2 linked regions of the Oryctolagus cuniculus genome follow. The protein of the gene in region 1 interacts with the protein of each later gene in a biochemical or structural test. Links are inferred from orthologs where the notes say so. Each region holds a gene or a part of one and is shown on either strand. Other genes may lie near its edges.

Region 1 (3,819 bases):
TAAAATAGCAGTTATTTTTCTGAGACAATGAACTTGCCTTCATCAACAGGTCTTTTTAGTTAACTTGAAATAAAGTTCAAGTTAAAAGAAAATTAGAACAAATACTTTTTAACCTTTTCTTAGTTAATTCTGATCGTTTGGGCCCTAGTTATTCCCATTGAATGCAATGTCCAGTGAGTTAGGTTTTTAATTTAGTTTTGCCTTTTTTCTTTTTTTTTTTTTTGTGATGAACTCATGGAATTTAGTGATCAATGTGAATATGTTTGTGTTTATTATTTTTCATGCCCAAATTGTTCCTTTTCACCTTTTAAATGTTCTGTCTTCAAGGTTACATGTATTCTTTCTTCCATCTACAGGCACCAGACCTGCACTTCCCATTACCCACCTGCCTGCCTAACTGTCCCAAAACACACAGCATGCATGACTTCACATCTTTCAATTGATCTCACTTTGATGTTCTTTTCCTCTTTTTGAACCACCAATTAGCAGCATTTCTGTATACCCTCTATCCCAATCCAGAAATCTGGACATCATTCTTGATTTCATCCTCACTCTTGTATATCCAGGTACTCTCCAAATCCTATCCAGAACTGTTTCAGTGTTCTAGCCCTTCTTCCTCATTGTACTGCTAACTGCTCAGGCCATGGTGACCTCTTACCCAAACCACCTAACCTTCCAGATTGCTCTCAACAACCATGGAATTACCTTCTTGAAAATCAGTTTGGTGATGTTAGTCCCCTGTTTCAAGACTTCTGCTACATTCCTGTTACTTAATATAGTAGTGTTTCCCCAGTTTTGTTCAGCAGAACCCTAAATTCTACGAAGTGTTAATAAGTGTTGTCTAAAAAAGAGGTACTGCAAGCACATGTTTAGAAAATACATTTTTGGGGGGGGTCTGCTTTTTTTGGCCTTTTATATGCAGCATATTTTATTTCCTGTCTACAACAAGGATTAGAATAGATAACAGTCTATAAATTGATAAGCTCATGAAATATTTATCTAGAAGGATTAATGTTATTCAGTAAAATTTTAGAAAGTGCTGGCCAAGTAAATAAATGTTCAATTTCAACTTTTGCATTATATTTAAATCCTGTCATGATCTCTCATGTTAAATTAGATAACCCCTATCACCCCCTGACACTTTTGCCGCATTTTTCTCTGAATTTGTCTCTCATTGTACTAGAGCTATCTATATCCACCTTCCCCTGACCACGGGAATCATCCTAAGCACTAAGTAGTGTAGGAGCACAGAAACAGCTCACTGAATAATAAGTGAATCCATTTCTGAAATAGGAACCTTCAGCAGCTCTGTTATTATTGTCATACTTACAGGATCCTTGGTTTCTTTAATTTGTAGGTTAGGAAAAGAGTAAAATTATATATTGCAGCTAAAAGAGGCCTTCAAGCTCATCCAGGCCACTGGTTTTCAGACTGTGTGTCAGAGTCTCAAATGTCCCACAAACCCTTCTCCCACCAGTTGCCCTTCCCTCAGGAACTACGAAAGGAAATAGGAAGGGGAATGAGAAGATGAAGCACATGTTCTCTTACGAGCTGTAAATATTGGATTGCTTAAATTCCCTTTAGAAAGGGGTTCCAAGGCTACAGCTTGGGAGCCATTAGCATAGCATCCAGTCCCCTTATGAAGCAGTGGCTACAGGCCAAAAAGGATTGACTTTCCAAAGGTCACAAAGTTCTTAATAATAGAACTAAGAGCTAAGACTCAGATGATCTTACTTTCACAGTAGTGCTCTTTGCAGAAAGCTGAAAAATGAAAAAGTTCATTAGATTATGGACTGAAATAGTGTGCTCAAACAAAAGCCTGTACAGGAATATTCATAGCAGCTTTATTCATGATAGCCCAAAACCAGACACAATCCAGATATCCTTCAATAGGCAGATTTCTGAATAAACTGTGATACTTGCATAGAAGAGCCGGTATGTGTGTGATGAAATGGCTTAGAACTTGGGGCCAGCATTGTGATACCATGAGCTGAGCCACTACCTGTGACACCAGCAATCCATATGAGCACAGATATGATGAGTCCTGGCTGCTCCACTTCCAATCCAGCTCCCTGCCAATGTGCCTGGGAAGACCATGGAAGATGGCCCAAATACTTGGGCCCCTGCCACCCAAGTGGGAGACGAGAAATTCTGGGCTCCTGGCTTTGGCTTGGCCCAGCCTGCCATTGCAGCCATTTGGGTAATGAAGGGTGATGGAGGATCAATCTCTATCTCTCCCTCTCTCTGTAGCTGCCTTCAAATAAATAAATCTTTTTTTTAAAAATGGCTTAGAACTAAATACATACACGCAAATGGCAAATACAACTGGGGCTATCTACAGGTATCTCAGAAGATTTAATTCAAAGCATTTAAAAATAAAAATACATACACCTCCAAAAAATGAAACTTTGTTATATGGATTTGTTATTTAGAGCCAAACTTGGGATGCCACAGTTTTTGAGTCCTGAAGCCCAGAGTCTTTTACGAATGCTTTTCAAACGAAATCCAGCCAACAGATTAGGTAAAAATTTTAATTAATTTTTTCTTTCATGTTTTGATTTTTTTTGTTGAGGGGTGGGTGATAGATATTTGTTTTTGTGATGAGATTGTTAAATGTTCAAACAAGTAGTAAAACTCTGTGCAGTGTTTTCACATACATTTATCCTTGAAATAAAAATTCCCAATCAATTTTTGATAGGCGCAGGACCAGATGGAGTTGAAGAGATTAAGAGACATTCATTTTTCTCAACAATAGACTGGAATGTAAGTATGGAATGGAACTTTGCTTGAAATATTTTTATAATTAACACATGTCTAAGTCTCTCTTTTCTCTCCAGAAACTATATAGGAGAGAAATTCATCCACCTTTTAAACCTGCAACTGGTAGGCCTGAAGATACATTCTATTTTGATCCTGAATTTACTGCAAAAACTCCCAAAGGTAAAGAGAAAACATGAAAACCCAAATATAAGACAATGAATACATGTTTGTCTTGTTGATCAGAAAATGTTTTCCAAGATCACTAGGCATATTTGAAATGCTCAGTATTGACATGTGTATAGTGGCTACCATATTGGACAGCACAGATAAAGACAATTTCCTTCATTCTAGGAAGTTTGATGGGATAGGGTTAATGTTTGAATACCATTAACCCAGTAACAATATTTATTATATTCCTCAAATGAATTGGCTGTTTTCTAGTCCCTGAGGGAGCGAAGTTAGAATTGTTGTGGCAATAAGTGATCAGATCATATCCAATACAGTACTGAGATATCCTGGACTGCAGTCGGTATATAATTACCTTTCAAAGGAATCTTCATAAAATTTTTTGCTCTTTTCAGATTCACCTGGCATTCCACCTAGTGCTAATGCACACCAGCTCTTTCGGGGGTTTAGTTTTGTTGCTATTACCTCAGACGATGAAAGCCAAGCAATGCAGACAGTTGGTGTACATTCAATTGTTCAGGTGAGTGCGTGTCTAATAATTTTAAATTTTAAATGTTATGAGGTACAGTTCATTGTATAAATATATTTCATGAGCTGGACAGCTTAAAATACACTTTGTATCAATATTACTCTTTTTTAAAAAAATATTTATTTATTTATTTGAAAGTCAGAGTTACAAAGAGGAAGAGAGAGAAAGGTCTTCCATCCTTTGGTTCACTCTCCAGATGGCCGCAATGGCCAGAGCTGCACTAATCCAAAGCCAGGAGCTTCTTCCGGGTCTCCCATGCAGGGGCAGGGGCCGAAGGACTTGGGCCATTTTGCACTCCTCTTCTAGGCCATTGCAGAGAGCTAGATCGGAAGTGGAGCAGCCAG
Region 2 (3,819 bases), on another chromosome or scaffold:
GAGTCTAATCCACAGACCTCCCCCTACAGTAGTAGTCTCTAAAAGTGCGTAAGAAAATGTTAGTAATGTGGTTTTCTTTTAGATTTTACTACTTTTCACTTTTATGTTCCATGATATATATGTGATAATAGCCACAGAGTATCTGAATAACATTTTTTCTTACTGACAAGAGGCATAATGAAAAATGTCTAAAGACCACTGCTCTAGAGCCCCTTTTACTGTCTTTGAGCATCTGTTATTCTGCCTTGTCATGAAGTGGTATGCCTTGTGTCGATAACTTTGAGTTCTTCTCTGTATGCTGAATGAATGGAGCCTGACTTGCTGATGACTGGCCCTGTGTGCCCCCCTCCCCCACCTTTGTCCAGCTTGTTGTGACTCTCCAGGAAGCTAAACCAGGCACTGCCAGTAGTGATCTCCTCACTCTTCTCACTGGGGATGTCCTCCTTGCAGGCTGATTTGAGCTGTTCCAGATCTTCAAGGGTGATGTTGTTGGTCAGGTCCTGGAGGAGCGTCCCGTACTCGGCCATGACTGGGGTTGGGAGACAAGAAAGGGAACAGAGGAGGCTGAGCTTAAGGTACAGGGTTTGGTTCACTCCCTTGTACTCCCCACTTTCCAGTAGAGACCAGGCATGTGCCTAGAACAGGAGGTAGAGGGGGAATGGGGCTGGAGGGGAGGTGGTGGGAGTAGCAGGAAGAAACTTAGAAGCTAGGAGCCAGGCTGAAATCTAGAGTGACAAGTCATACCTCTTTTCCTCCACCATCTTTTTCTTCTATTTCCCCCTCTAACAGTAACCCTGGCAACTGCTCCCCTGACTGAGGAGGCGGTTACCATGGCAGCCTGCTCCCGACTTTCTCGCTGCTGTCTCCAAGCCCCCCCCCCAGAATCGCCCCACCCACTTGCAACCCCTCCCCCTCATCAGAAAAGAAAGCCAAAACATTCAAAAACAAGGACTAGTGAGAAGCTTGCTGTGGCAGTGAGGGGCTGGAAGGGAGCTGGAAGGTTTGGTTGAAGCTCATGTGTTCTCATTCTTTCCCAGAAGCAAAGGGGTCCCTCACTTCAACTCCCCACCACCCCACTAATGACTCATTTTGGATGGATGCCTCATTGCCTGGTCTGACAGTTCTTGGACCCTCCCATGCTTAGCCTTGTATTCAGTCATTAGGGCCAGGGCAGCGGAGAGAAGCAAAGGGCCACCCCCACCTTTATGCAGTTCATTTTCTGCCTTGACGGTTACTGAGTCCCCCCACTCAGCGCTCTCTCCTAGTCTTTGTGCTGTGCCTGCAGCCCCCGCGCCCAAGAATACCAAGCGGCTGGCTCTGGCCCCCTGCCCAGTTCCCAGGATGGCTGGTGGCAGGGGGAGGGGAGTTTAGATGTGGCTTTGGGAGTCTGGCAGGAAGGGGTTGCTACCCCTTCTTGCAACAACATCCTCCTGGCACTACCTTCAGCATGACCTCCCAGAGGGGGGCTAGACAAGGCCAGAGCTCATCTAGGCCTTTACTCTATCCCTCTTTCTTGATCCTAGGTGAGAAAGTACAGAACATTCAACCTTCCTTTTAGGAACTGTAGCTAAAACAGGAAGAAGGGTGGACCCCAGAGTGAACTTTCTGGATTTGATAAAATATAAAACTAGTAGCAAACTCAAAAAGGGCCTTAATGTCTCCAGTTAGTATATATTTCTTTTATAATTAGAAAATAAAGCATTAAAAAAATCAGACCATGCCACAAACAGTCCGTGGCTAGACCAAGGGGTAGGTACAAGGTAAATGACCTTACCACACTGAAGCTGCCCACAAATCATCCCAGCATTGGGCTGGGAAGGTGGCAGATCAAAGTGGGCTGGTTGATAGCCCCCCAACCCCCCTCATTTTCATCATTCTAGCCTCTACTTGCAGGAGAACAGAGGCAGAGAGGCATGGCTATCACACAATAAGAGGTGTGGACCCAGAAGTCCCCATTCCCAGCCCCCTGCCTGGACCAGAATAAACAAACCTCCCTTGGTGGCAGGCACCGTAACACAAACAGACAATAAGCTAGACAGCAGGGCTGGCAAAACCCTCACAAGAAACAGGCAGTCATAGGCACGCTCACTTGCACACCCAGGTGCAGCCAGACAGAAGGGCCCAGCGGTGGCCCTGCCCTGCCAGGCCGGGCCAGGAACAATGCTCTCTGACTGTCAGCACCAGGAACCATCTCCGCCTTGAAATCTAGGTCACAGCGGCAGGCGCTGGAGCCCAACCCCCCTCCTGATAATCCGAGAGCAGAAAAAGGGGTTGTAAGGGAGGGGGGTAGGGAAAGGGGTCTAGCAATGCCTATCAGGCTGGGGGATAGAGAGAGCTGAAAGAGAAAGGGTGGCATGGGAAGGCAACAAGAAGACCCTGCCCTGGTGGAGGAGACGCAGGGACTAAGCTGTCTAGAAAGAAAGGGCAGAATTTAGGGTCACACTGCTCTCTTCTCACATGGAAGAGGAGTTTGTAAATATGAGAGATCCTGTGGGAGGAGAGAGTGAGAGAGAGTGTGTGTGTGTGTGTGTATGTGAGAATCTCTTGGGAGGAGTTAAAATGTAGGGCTCTGAATCTAAAAGATCTACAAGGGAGGTGGGCGGGAAGGGATCAGTGTGTGTAACACACCTACCCACAAAGGCTGGGGGCAGTAGGTAAGAGCTTTCTAAGAGTGAGGCAGGTACAAGGAGGTCCCCAAGAGAGGTGGGGAGTGGAAATGTTAAAAGTGGCAGGGGAGAACTGTGTGCCAGGATCCCATGTATGGGTGCTGATCCCCGGGTGTGGGTCCAGGAGCAGGGAGGAGGCTGTGGGTGTGTTTGGATGTTCTGGTTAAGGGAGGCGTATGTGTCGGCACTGCATGTGTGGCTGTGAGTGTACGTGGGATGTGTTTGTGTGTGAACCAGAGGAGAGTATGTGTAAGAAGGTATATAACCATAGGCTTACATCCAGAGGGATGCGGGCAGAGCCTACAGAATGGAGGAAGGGAGCTGGGGTTGAGAGAGGTAGAGACTGAGGCTGCAAATACTTGGGGGGGGGGGGTTGGGGGGCAGAGCGAGGGGATGAAGAGAGGGAGCACACAGAGTCCGCAGCAAGAAGGCTGCAGCCTCAGCTCAGCTGTTACTATAGCAACGTCAGTTCTGGATGCCCCCCCCCCCCCCCCGCAGTCATCAGGACAATAACACCACTGGATGGGAGGGGTATGGGGAGTGGTGAGTAAGAAGGGACAGAAAGGATAGAAATAGGGCCCCCTGAGGGAGCAAGGAAAAGCATTCTGGTTACTTCCTTCTCTGGAGAGATTCCATTTGTCCAGGCCTGGGTGTGGTAGCAGGGATAAGAGCAGAAGAGTTTAGGGGGAATTTTGGGGATATGGACAGGTGGAATATCCTTCCCTGGCTCTCAAGTCTCACGGATCAACTACTGTCCCTGGACTGGGCTGGCCATGGTGGGACTTGGCAGAACTTGGCTCCCCCAGCCTCCATGTCACGCTCCTCACCAGAGATTCAGAAGACTTCAGGGCCTGTGAGGAAGCCTTCTGCCTCCCCAGCTCTGAAAAGCCACCCTGATCTCTGAAGCAGCACAGAGGGCTGCCCAGAAAACACCAGGCAGACTGGGCGGAGGCCATTCTCAGGACAGGATACCAGGGCAGGGACCGGGAACCGGAGCTAGAGCTGCAGGAAGTCAGTCCCCTTCCCTCCCAGCTCATTCTGTGCTCTGCTCACTGCTTCCTCACACCTTCCTTCCCCCATTTCCTTCCTCCCCTTCCTTCCAAGCTGACTCCAGGAGGAGCCCTGACAAAGGTGGAGCAGACTGATGATGCTG

The links.
Region 2: the proteins of RPS6KA3 (region 1) and PEA15 form a complex in vitro, tested with the Homo sapiens proteins (2 studies listed by BioGRID). The link is inferred for Oryctolagus cuniculus from reciprocal best matches to the Homo sapiens genes RPS6KA3 and PEA15.

What each region holds. Positions count from the first base shown.
Region 1 is NC_091453.1:6,234,505-6,238,323, reverse strand, and holds part of RPS6KA3 (ribosomal protein S6 kinase alpha-3), read left to right. Parts: intron 1-2,432; coding exon 2,433-2,521; intron 2,522-2,698; coding exon 2,699-2,763; intron 2,764-2,837; coding exon 2,838-2,940; intron 2,941-3,341; coding exon 3,342-3,466; intron 3,467-3,819. UniProt on the Homo sapiens protein: Serine/threonine-protein kinase that acts downstream of ERK (MAPK1/ERK2 and MAPK3/ERK1) signaling and mediates mitogenic and stress-induced activation of the transcription factors CREB1, ETV1/ER81 and NR4A1/NUR77, regulates translation through RPS6 and EIF4B phosphorylation, and mediates cellular proliferation, survival, and differentiation by modulating mTOR signaling and repressing pro-apoptotic function of BAD and DAPK1.
Region 2 is NC_091438.1:38,715,879-38,719,697, forward strand, and holds part of PEA15 (astrocytic phosphoprotein PEA-15), read right to left. Parts: intron 530-3,819; 5' UTR 528-529; coding exon 356-527; intron 1-355. UniProt on the Homo sapiens protein: Blocks Ras-mediated inhibition of integrin activation and modulates the ERK MAP kinase cascade. Inhibits RPS6KA3 activities by retaining it in the cytoplasm. Inhibits both TNFRSF6- and TNFRSF1A-mediated CASP8 activity and apoptosis.